3 linked regions of the Cricetulus griseus genome follow. The protein of the gene in region 3 interacts with the protein of the main gene of each other region in a pairwise test. Links are inferred from orthologs where the notes say so. Each region holds a gene or a part of one and is shown on either strand. Other genes may lie near its edges.

Evidence for each region.
Region 1: the proteins of Sh3gl2 (region 3) and Egfl6 interact in a two-hybrid assay, tested with the Homo sapiens proteins (2 studies listed by BioGRID and IntAct). The link is inferred for Cricetulus griseus from reciprocal best matches to the Homo sapiens genes SH3GL2 and EGFL6.
Region 2: the proteins of Sh3gl2 (region 3) and Atxn2 interact in binary tests that used the Homo sapiens proteins (3 or more experiments, as listed by UniProt). The link is inferred for Cricetulus griseus from reciprocal best matches to the Homo sapiens genes SH3GL2 and ATXN2.

Annotation. Positions count from the first base shown.
Region 1 is NC_048604.1:101,321,016-101,324,669, forward strand, and holds part of Egfl6 (epidermal growth factor-like protein 6), read right to left. Parts: intron 572-3,654; coding exon 251-571; intron 1-250.
Region 2 is NC_048597.1:101,656,985-101,660,638, reverse strand, and holds part of Atxn2 (ataxin-2), read right to left. Parts: intron 872-3,654; coding exon 726-871; intron 6-725; coding exon 1-5. UniProt on the Homo sapiens protein: Involved in EGFR trafficking, acting as negative regulator of endocytic EGFR internalization at the plasma membrane.
Region 3 is NC_048595.1:62,445,566-62,449,045, reverse strand, and holds the end of Sh3gl2 (endophilin-A1), read left to right. Parts: intron 1-1,200; coding exon 1,201-1,400; 3' UTR 1,401-2,884; downstream 2,885-3,480. UniProt on the Homo sapiens protein: Implicated in synaptic vesicle endocytosis. May recruit other proteins to membranes with high curvature. Required for BDNF-dependent dendrite outgrowth.

The DNA of each region.
Region 1 (3,654 bases), on a different chromosome or scaffold from region 3:
AGTTTGGGATTGCACAAATGTTTGAGTGGCCTCCTCAAAGTTGCTGTGTGATGGTTTTATTTGTGATTTAATAAAGTGATTGTAATAAAATGTTTTTAAATAAAAAGTTTGTATGTTTCAGAATCAGTATATTGAAAGGGAACTAAGCCATCTTTCTTATGGCAGGAATTGTCTACTCTTGTTCATTGATTTCTCATGAGGAATCATGTTTGTTTTTGTAAAATGCTAGAATAACGAAAGCAATACTTACAAAACACATCTCCTCGAAGGCTTCGCTCCTGTTCTATCGCATTCTGTAGGATTTTGTCTCTTTTTTCTTCCTCCAGCCCCTCTCCCTTTCTCTCTTCCGTCCTCTTTTGCTCTCCATCAGAGTTTCCGCCCCTGGAAATGCTCTCTTCAGAGCTGAAAGGCAAGTTAACCTTAGGGGTGTGTGTACTGGTGGGTCTTGGGGTGACATTTTTCAGCTTCACCTTTTTCTTCATATTGTGCTTGTGAGCCAGTAACTTCTTGATTCGATCTTTGATGGTCCCAGGTGCTCTGAGAAATTCCTTCACAGAGTTTTCAGGGATAACTAAACCAAAAAGCAAGACAGGAGAATTCCCATTTGGTTGAGATCATTCTTGAACAATCAAACATTTTGGAAGTGTCAAAATGCAGGAAGTAAATGTTTCCAGAATCAGCCCCAAATAATAACTTTATAACACCCTCCTCCAAATCTCAGGGAATGTCATGGAAGAGGGGATGGAAAACTATGAGTACCAGAGGATGAGCAGTTGTGCTGTGAAACACTGTCCTCTGAACATAACATGGATATTGCACTCAGGAGCTCATGCTAGCTATGGTAACTTGCACAAGATGGATCCTATCAACATTCCATTACGAATGGAGGGGAGAGGCTTATGAGGCCCCATCTTCTTTGAGGAGCTGTTGGTAGGTAATGGTTAATGGGGGGGGGAGTCATTTTCTTCAATGGTGTAGATACTGGTAAACTGCCCTGCTTCAGTAAATAACTACCCTCACCCCATGCTCATGCAAGCAACTCTAATTAATTAAACTCAGTAGGTCACCACCCACCCTAAGAAAAAACAAAACAAAACAACAAAGACACAAAACTAGGAGGGAGACTTTGGATAAAGGCGTTCAGCAGGAGTGGGATGAGAGGCTAATGGGAGGGGGTGTCAAAATGACCAAAATACATTAGATACGTGTATGAAATTGTCAAAGAATGAAGAAAATAAATTTAAAAATGATCAGGTTTGAGAGTCATCATTGATGGGCCACTTCTGGCTGTACTTCCTATGTCCCTGGCAACACACTAACTTTGTCAGTGAAAAACAGTGATAGATAAAAGAAGGGCTAAGTATCAGAATGGCTTGAGAGAGAGTATTGAGATTTCCCCCTTTGTTCAGATTTAAAATACCATATGAAAGGAAGGAGGGCAGACATAGCAGGACTTTGTTGAGGCCCATCAACAGAAGGCTATGTTTTCCCTGGTAAAACATGGGATTTTTAATATTTTTTATATTTGTTTTTTATATTTTTCTTTAAGTTATTTTTTTGGTTCTTTCTTTAATTCTTTTTTTTTATCTAGTCTGTTATATGATTTAAACTACAGAATGGGTTCTCAGTGGAACCATGACTTTTTAAATCAACAGAAAGATTCCAAGATTTTCACCCACCAGGAAGCTTTCTGAAGAATAGAGACATACTCTTTTCCATTCTCTTAAGAGTTAATTCAAAGCTGGGCGTTGGTGGCGCCCACCTTTAATCCCAGCACTCGTGAGGCAGAGGCAGTCGGATTTCTGTGAGTTCGAGGCCAGCCTGGTCTCCAGAGCGAGTGCCAGGACAGGCTCCAAAGCTACACAGAGAAACCCTGTCTCGACCCCCCCCCTCAAAAAGAGTTAATTCAAAAGAGACCTTTCAATCAACTGGAGAATGAGTTCTGGGACACAGAGACCTGGGCATCTCAAAAGCCCTCTGGATACTTATCCATGCCTCTGCCATTACGACTCTGTGAGGTTTCCTGATCCACTCTTAAAAATTACCTAGTCAGCTTTGCAAGAGACTGGACTTTCTACTCATTGGCCTCAGTCTTCTTTGGAGGAGCTACTTTTGTTTCATGTGCCCTGCCCTGCCCTCCCTTTCCCCTTCCCTTCTCCCTCCCTTTCCCTTTCCTTTTCCCTTTCCCTTCTCTTCCATTTCTCTTTCCTCTTTCACTTCCCTTCCCTTTTCCTTTCCATTTCCTTTCCTTTTCCCTTTCCCTTTCCCTGTTCCTTCTCTTCCTCTCTCTCCTTCCTCCTACTCCCCTTCCTCCTTCTCCTCCTCCTCTTCTTCCTCCTCCTCCTCTTCCTCCTCCTCTTCCTCCTCCTCCTCCTCCTCTGGTTTTTCAAGAATGGGTTTCTCTGTATAACAGCTCTGGCCATCCTGGACCTCACTTTGTAGACCAGGATGGCCTCGAACTCACAGAGATCCCCCTGCTTTTTGTGCCCCCCCCCCAACTGGGATTACAGGTGTATGCCATCACCGGCTAGCTCTATGTCCCATTTTAAAAAACATTTCCAGGCACAATTTATGCTTCTCATCATCATTTTTCTTCAAAATCGATTCTTTTGAAAGTTCTTCATGGAATGGACCTAGCCACAGTCCACTTGGATACCAGGAACCTTTTATGTGTGTGCTGTTGAATGTCTGTCATGGCACATAGTGTTTAGTCTTGCACAGCTTAGAAGATATTCTGTGTGTCATCAGCAGACTTGGCTGGGTGGGGTCACAGGATATGAGGCAGGTCAGAATATGATTTACAGCCATACTGATGAGAATTGTGCCAAAGGGCATAGGAGATACTTGAGACAGGGCAGTAAAGAAGTCTATAGCAGGTGTTGCAGGGCATGCCTCTAGTCCCAGGACTCAGGAAGCTATGGCAGGATAGTAGTCAGTTCAAAGCTAGCCTTGACTACATAGTGAGTATTAGGCAGCCAAGACTACATAGCAAGACCTTTTTTTCAAAACAAATAATCAAACCAACAGGGCCAGTGAGATGGCTCAGCTCATTAGAGGCTCTTGATGCACAAGCCTGGTTTGATCTCCAGAGTCCACAAAAAGGTGGACAGAGAGCACTGACTCCAGAAAGTTTCTCCTGACCTCCACATGTATACATGTATGCTATGGTATGCATGCCCCTCAAACACCATTCACACGCGCGCACACACACACACACACACACACACACACGCACACACACACTAATAATAATAATAATAATAATAATGATAATAATGTACACACACTAATAATAATAATGATGATGATGATGATGATGATAATAATGTAATAATAATGAAAATCAAAACCAACCAAACAAACAAAAACACAATACAATACAACAAAACAAAAGCAAGTCTAGTCACACAATGGGCCAGGATTACAAGAAAGATAAATCTAGGGGCTGGAGAGATGGCTCAGAGGTTAAGAGCACTGACTGCTCTTCCAGAGGTCCTGAGTTCAATTCCCAGCAACCACATGGTGGCTCACAACCATCCCTTATGAGATCTGGTGCCCTCTTCTGGTGTGCAGATGTACATGGAAGCAGAATGCTGCATGCATAATAAAAAAATAAAATATTAAAAAGAAAGATAAATCTAGAAGTTGATGTTA
Region 2 (3,654 bases), on a different chromosome or scaffold from region 3:
TGGTGCTGCAAAGCAATGGGAAACTTCTTTACTGAGAAGTCATTAGGGTCAGAGCTTCACACACTGAAGGCAGCAGAAGCCCCACCCAACTCTAGCCATGCCCAGGAGATGCAGGGAGAAGAGCATCATGGGCATCTCTTGTCCAGATGGTCTTTTCTGGGTTCTCAAGCCCAAGTCTCAGCCTGGCAGTTACAGGTACAAACAAGCAGAGGTGGAACAACCGACAAGATGTCAGGCTGTCAACTGCCCCACTAGCTAATATGACTAAAGAAGCCAACAGGCAGCTGGGCAGTGGTGGCCAAGCCTTTAATCCCAGCACTTGGGAGGCAGAGGCAGAGGCAGATCTCTGTGAGTTTGAGGCCAGTGTGGTCTACAAAATGAGTTCCAAGACACTCAGGACTATTACACAGAGAAACCATCTTGGGGGAAAAAAAAAGCAGCAGCCAATAGGAAAGCAGCATTATTGAGTGGCTTCAGGAATGAAATTCCAGACAGTACTTTAGCTTAAAGTTCTTTGTTAAGTCTAAAGTAGCTTTTCCACACTCATGTTTCCGGCATTTACCCCGAGGGTACGGCTTACTTGACATTTTCAAGCCCTCCCCTGAACCCACAACTACCTGCAGCTACATAAGGATGGCTGTCTCATATGTCCTGATCACACAGAGACGTGTAAGTAGCAGGGACAAGGAAGCAGCTGTGCATGCACAGGCCACGGCTCTTCTTACCTGAACAGGACTGGGTGCAGGATGATTTCCACCATGCTGGCTTTGTTGCTGTCCAGTGGGAGTGGCCGAAGGCTGAGGATGGGGCGTATGTGGATGCAGGGTGGCATTAGGATGTGCATACTGCTGAGCAAGGGAGCCCGTGGAAACTAAGGCAAAAGGAAAAGGAATGTATACAATTGATACATGCTGATGACCAATCCCAGCCCAATCCCAAAGCTTCACTGAATGCTTTCACAACCACTACAATCTAACCCATGCCACTGGCATTCTCTGCATCCATTTACATCAGGCAGACTGGAAAATAGACATAAGGGCTCTGCTTAACAAGGTCAGCATTAACTCACATGTTACAGCTCTGCACATTACATCAACATTGAGTTAATTTGAGTTTACTCAAAATAATCCTATTTCTTTTGGAGGGCAGAAACAACTCCAAAAATCACTCTGGCTCACATGAAGACAGGTACAGCCTCTCTCTCTCTCAAGGCCATCATTTGGCTACACTCACCATGCTACTGTCCTACAGTCTCAGTGCCCACATTAGTGAAGCTAGGGGCAAGGACAAGGTCATTGCCATGTCAGTCACAGCATCCATTCCACTCCTGATTCCTACTGAGGAGCTCCTAATTAAGCCTGGAGATGAAACTGCCCACCCCATCCTGTTCACTAGAATAACAAAGGAAACATGATGACCCTATTAAAATGTGATCACAAAGACAAAAGACCCAGGGGCAGGTTTTTATCCATCTAGTATGGGCCCCACCTTGGTACCAAACAAGATGAAGTATTAGGCAAACCTGTGCCTTCACAACAGCAGGCTGAACATGAAAAACCTGGGAAGGCCTCACTCACTATTCCCGTGACTCTGGATAGCTCATGGGTTCAAACTTAATAGCAAGCAGAAAATGGAGTGCTCTTAAGTCATAGGTCTCCCAGTACCAGACCCTGAGCCCTTCACACCCAAGCTGTTATATCACGTTCATGCTCTTCAGATAATATGTCAGCAAACACGGAATGTGGCAGAGAAACAAAAACAGAGTCAGCAAAGCTCCTGACAATGGCCAGCATGGAGGATGCTGGCTGTGTACCACCTCAGTGGTATAGAGGATGGACAATGAAGGACACTCTATTCCCAATAGTGTGGTCTTGAATGGTGAATGCATCTCAGAAGAATGTCAGAGCTGGGGATGACCTGTACACCAAACCACCAAGGCGACAGCTGTCACCAGTGTTCCTCAGTATCTGGCTTAGACTGATGGAGGTGGTTTTGTTTAGACCTCGGTCAAGCTTCCTAAACTGTAAGAGCCAACAGACATGGTAATGAGAAAACCACCGCAGCCTAATCTCAAGTGTTTTCAACGTGATGGTTTTCTGTAAGTCAGAGAGTCTCTGTCTTGTTAGAAGCCACCTATAACCATGACAGTACTTACAGTACTTTCCTTCTTGGAGACACGGTCTCCTAATGGAGCCTATGCTGCTGGATGATGATGACTGGTCCAAAAGTCTCATTCTTAAACCACATATATTAAAACCCCACCCACTGTTTATTGTTTCCTTTGTAGCAATCCAACGAAGGGACAAAAATCCTCTACTTACGGGGTTTCATAAAGATGGTTGGTAGAGAAGCCCAAGAAATCTGAAATTTCATTAGTAATTAATTCCTAAGTATTTAGAACACAAACAAGAAAAGGAAAAGGTGGGGAGACACAGATTAAGGCAGAGCTTTGCCCAGAAGGCCCTGTTCTAGCTCAAGAAGGGGAAAACAACAAATAACTCTGAAGGAAGCTCTAGCAAAATGCTGCACCACTTTCATCATGGAAACCACAGCCATTGCAGTAACAGTGATTATGTTCATCAAGTCTCAAAATTAAATTAGTCAACTGGAAAAAGGTCTTGATATTGCCGCCTGTAAAAAAAATTCAAGATTTTTATTCTTTTCTTTTTCTTTCACACCCCAAGTTGGCCTGGAACCCACCATCCTCCTGACTGCATCAAACCATACATACTCAGCCAGGATGAAATAGCTTTACTACTACCTCACATTTTATGCTCAGGATCAAAGCCAGAATATCCTGCACACTAAGTACAGAGTCTACCACGAAGTTAACATCCTTAGCCACATTTGTAAAATTTAGCAATTAATTAGAAGGAGGGACTAATGGAGCCTCAACTCTCATTATGTAGTTCAAACCCTCAAACTCATTATGCTCAGGATGACCTTGAACGTCTAAGAGAACTTAGCTTCTCACATGATGGGTTCCGATTCTACTACCACATCCAGTTTTGATTTATTTTATTATTATTATTTTTTTTTTCGAGGCAGGGTTTCTTTGTATAGCTTTGGAGCCTATCCTGGCACTCGCTCTGAAGACCAGGCTGGCCTCGAACTCACAGAGATCCACCTGCCTCTGCCTCCTGAGTGCTGGGATTAAAGGCGTGCACCACCAACACCCGGCTTGATTTATTTTTATATTCAACGTTCTTTCTACATTGCCTGGCTGGCTCCAAACTCTTAGGCTCAACCAAACTTCCTGCTTTAGCTTCTTGAATAGGCAAGACATACATTATACCAACTTTAACTATGCATTTAAAAACTTTAAAATTATTATTGATGTGTGTGTATGCTAGCTATGGGGTGAGAGTGAAGGAACATGACATGGCTTTCATGTGATAGTCAGCAGAGCTGGTTTTCTCCTTCTACCTTCTTATGGATTCTGGAGTTTTGAACTCCAGTTGCCAGGGTTGCACGCACAGTGATTTTCATAATTGAGCCAACTTGCTGGACCTATATATACATCTTTTAAAAAGATTTATTTTTATTATATGCATGTATTTTGCCTGTATGTAAGTAAGTTTGTGCAACACATGTGTGCAGTGCCCACAGAGACCAGAAGAGAGCTTTGGATCCCTCGGAACTAGGTATAGACTG
Region 3 (3,480 bases):
CATACAAATCAGACCAGGTTTTTCTCTTCAGGCATTGCCAACTGTGAAACTGTCTAGGTTAAAGAAGGGGGAATCCACGTGACACTGGATGCAGATGTTAAAGATACACAGCTTTCTCCCATTCTCCTGATTTACTGCATTGGAGAACTTTTATACCATGCTGTCATGGTATGAAGAAGAGGGTGAAGCTCTGTCCACAGCTCAGACTGCCCAGTGTTACTCAGTGTGGGGCCCAGACAGCAGTGACCCTAAAGTTCATCGAGTTAATTATCTATGACTGCACTTCTCCTTGCCCAGAAAAAGACATACATTTAATTTTCTCTAAGTAAAAAAATATATTGTTTCCTTATTAGGACATCTAGCTAGTGTGGGGCCCATAATCACTTTTGTATTTGTATTTATGCATATGCTGTATTAATATGTTTACTCATTTAAAAGAGATCCCTTTTATGATACAGTCCATTTTTATTAATTTATGCAATATGCACTACATTATTATTGTAGGCTGTGTTTTTTTACCCAGTACTCACATGTGTATGTTACATACCAGTTTACTGAATAGAGACTGTGAATTTTAAAATGTTTGTCATTTGATGACACAATAATTTAAAGCAAATTCTGTTAACTTTAATTTTGGATGAAGAAGCAAACAGAATGTTTGAGCCAGGTCACATGGAGAAAAACCCTGGGCCTAGTGCTTTATGTGGCTACAGCAGTTCTCAAGGCTCTGCAGTTGTTAAAGAGTGAGAACTGACCTATGATTTTGAGGTTTTAGAATGTTGTCTGTGTAACTAATTAGACTATTTTAAAAGTATTAAGATGCATGGATTTGGCCATGCCTGTAATTAACCTTAATTTAATTATTAACTCCAAAGCCATTGCTTTCCCACCTCTCAGCATTGTCAGGAAGATAAACCTAATGAACTCTGTTATACTTACCACACACAAAAAAACAAGTAACCATTTTTCATTCTGGACATGTCAACCGAGAATGTTCACCAACACTTAAAGCTCTAATGGAACATAGGGAAGCTGGTAGAGACAAAGATGCTTTGTAGTGGGTGCTGGAGGAAGATGAAGATCAGAAGGGAGTTGAGTGACTGGGAATGGGGAACCAAGCTGGTGGGTGGGGCAGGCAGTAAGTGCTGCTGGTTAAATACCCTGTGATTTTTTTGTGTTCTCTCTGCCTCTGATTCTCAGGTGCCCAAATGGACCAGCCCTGCTGCCGTGCCCTGTATGACTTTGAACCTGAAAATGAAGGGGAACTGGGTTTTAAAGAGGGTGATATCATCACACTCACTAATCAAATTGATGAGAACTGGTATGAGGGGATGCTTCATGGCCAGTCTGGCTTTTTCCCCATCAACTATGTAGAAATTCTGGTTGCTCTGCCCCATTAGGATCTTATGCTGGCTGGCTCACCTCCTTCTGACCCAGATAGTTAAGTTTAACCACTGCTTTGGTAATGCTGCTTCCAACACATCATGAATGCAGGCCGCAGTGGATGAGTCATCAAGCCCACACATGTCCTGGGTTGACCTGTGTGCTCCTACAGTTGACCTGGTGATAGACGGTATCTTCCAAGGCCAGTGGGTCTGGCACATGCTTTAAAACTCCATCTGAGACTAGCCAGTGGTTACAGAACTGCTCTTCACACAGTTCTCAGGAGGGTGCGGTTTTTGATAATAAATCTGTGAGCCACCTCACAGAAAAACTCTCCTCACTGAAGATATTGTCTCTCACCCAGGGGCCATTTCAAGGTCTGGAGTTCCCCATGTACAGAGGAGAAAGTCCTTTCTGTTGCACTTTCCCTTCCTAAATGTGTGAGTCACAGAATTGTTGGTGAAGCATCCCCCACCAGCAAATTGTCTGCTGGCCTAAACAACTTGGACTTTTGATGCCATCAGCAGAAGTATTAATTGTCCAAAGCACTTTTGTTCTCATCCATCTATCTTTCTATCTATCTATCTATCTATCTATCTATCTATCTATCTATCTATCCATCTAGCTATCTATCCATCCATCTTCTATCATCTATCTATCTATCTATCTATCTATCTATCTATCTATCATCTATCTCCTACTTCTGAGACATACCAGTTTTCTTCCCTCCCTTCTGTTAAAGCACTAGAGAGGTGGCGTTCCCACTTATTTCTGAGTGAGTTGGTGAGCATTGTGTATATTGTCTGAAAAGAGAAAATTCTCCAGGATGAATTGGGAAGAATCTGATCTCCAAGCTCAGATTCCTTGCTGTATAGAAGCTGTATATATACGTAGCCCATTTCTGAAGGATACAGGAAGGGGGAACAGCTGTCTTCCCTTCTCTGTTTATTTACCCAGGAATCAGTCCATTTCCTGAGTCCCTCTGCCACAAAAACATAGGAGAGAAACACTAGTAAGCATTTCCCACATCTTCATAGAACAAGACATAGTGACCGTTGCTCCTTCCCACTTTTATCTTGTTTGTGTTCCTTGAACATCATTTGTGTATATTCTGCCCTCAATGAGGACCAAATAAAGATGATTTTTGTGCTTAGCAGTTTAAGTATGTGGCTGCATATAAAACCCTTTCACACTTTAGTCATTACTTTAACCCTTCTATCGCATCTTCATTTTGTGTGTACAGTGCTGTGCAAGCTGATCAGTGTTGTTTTTATTTTGTGTTTTCTCTGGTTCTTTTCCCCTTCAGTCATGGAAGTCCTGTTAGGCACCCAGAGTTCTATTTATCTAGCTGTACAGGCTATTTCAGAGGTTTAATGTGCTGCTTCCGATATGCCACTTGCAGTAGTGGTTCATGTGGAGTGAAAGGTAAATCTTCCTGCTTAATGTATAAACTCACCATGGGAAGCGTTGCTGTTTCCAATAAATATTGCTGAAGATGAAACAGAGGGTTCTGCCTCTTCCTTATTTATCAGTTCCTTGGTCTGACAGTGGGTGGACTAAGACTCCTTTGATCTCCATTGCCATTGAATGCAGCCAATCCAGACCTGGTCCCAACCTCATCTCCAGCTTGTTGCATACAGGAGAGAGAGGTTCAAGAAACAAAAGGTGAGCTAGAGTAGGCACTGGCAGCAGTAATGCCAGGAAGGAGAAAAACTTGGCGGAGAGGGTAAGTAAGAGAAGAAAGTTATGTGATTTAACAAACAGTGATGTCAGCAGGAGAACACAGTGTTAAAAAGAGGAAAATAAAGTATCTTGGCCAGACTTTTGGCTTTGTTTTGAATACTCCTTTATTTTAATTTCATATATGTATGTAGAAAAAATATCATTTCTCCCTCTTATTTCCTCCTTCAACTTCTCAAGTGTCCCCCAATACACCTTTCAACCAACTTGGAGTCTTTAAATCCAGTTAGTGTTGATCATGTGTGTAAGTATGGGGCTATGCATGAAGCATGGAAAACCTACCAGTGGCCAAAACTTCAAAAAAGGAGGATTCTTCCTTTCCCAGCAATATCTACTACTATCTATATGCTACAGTAA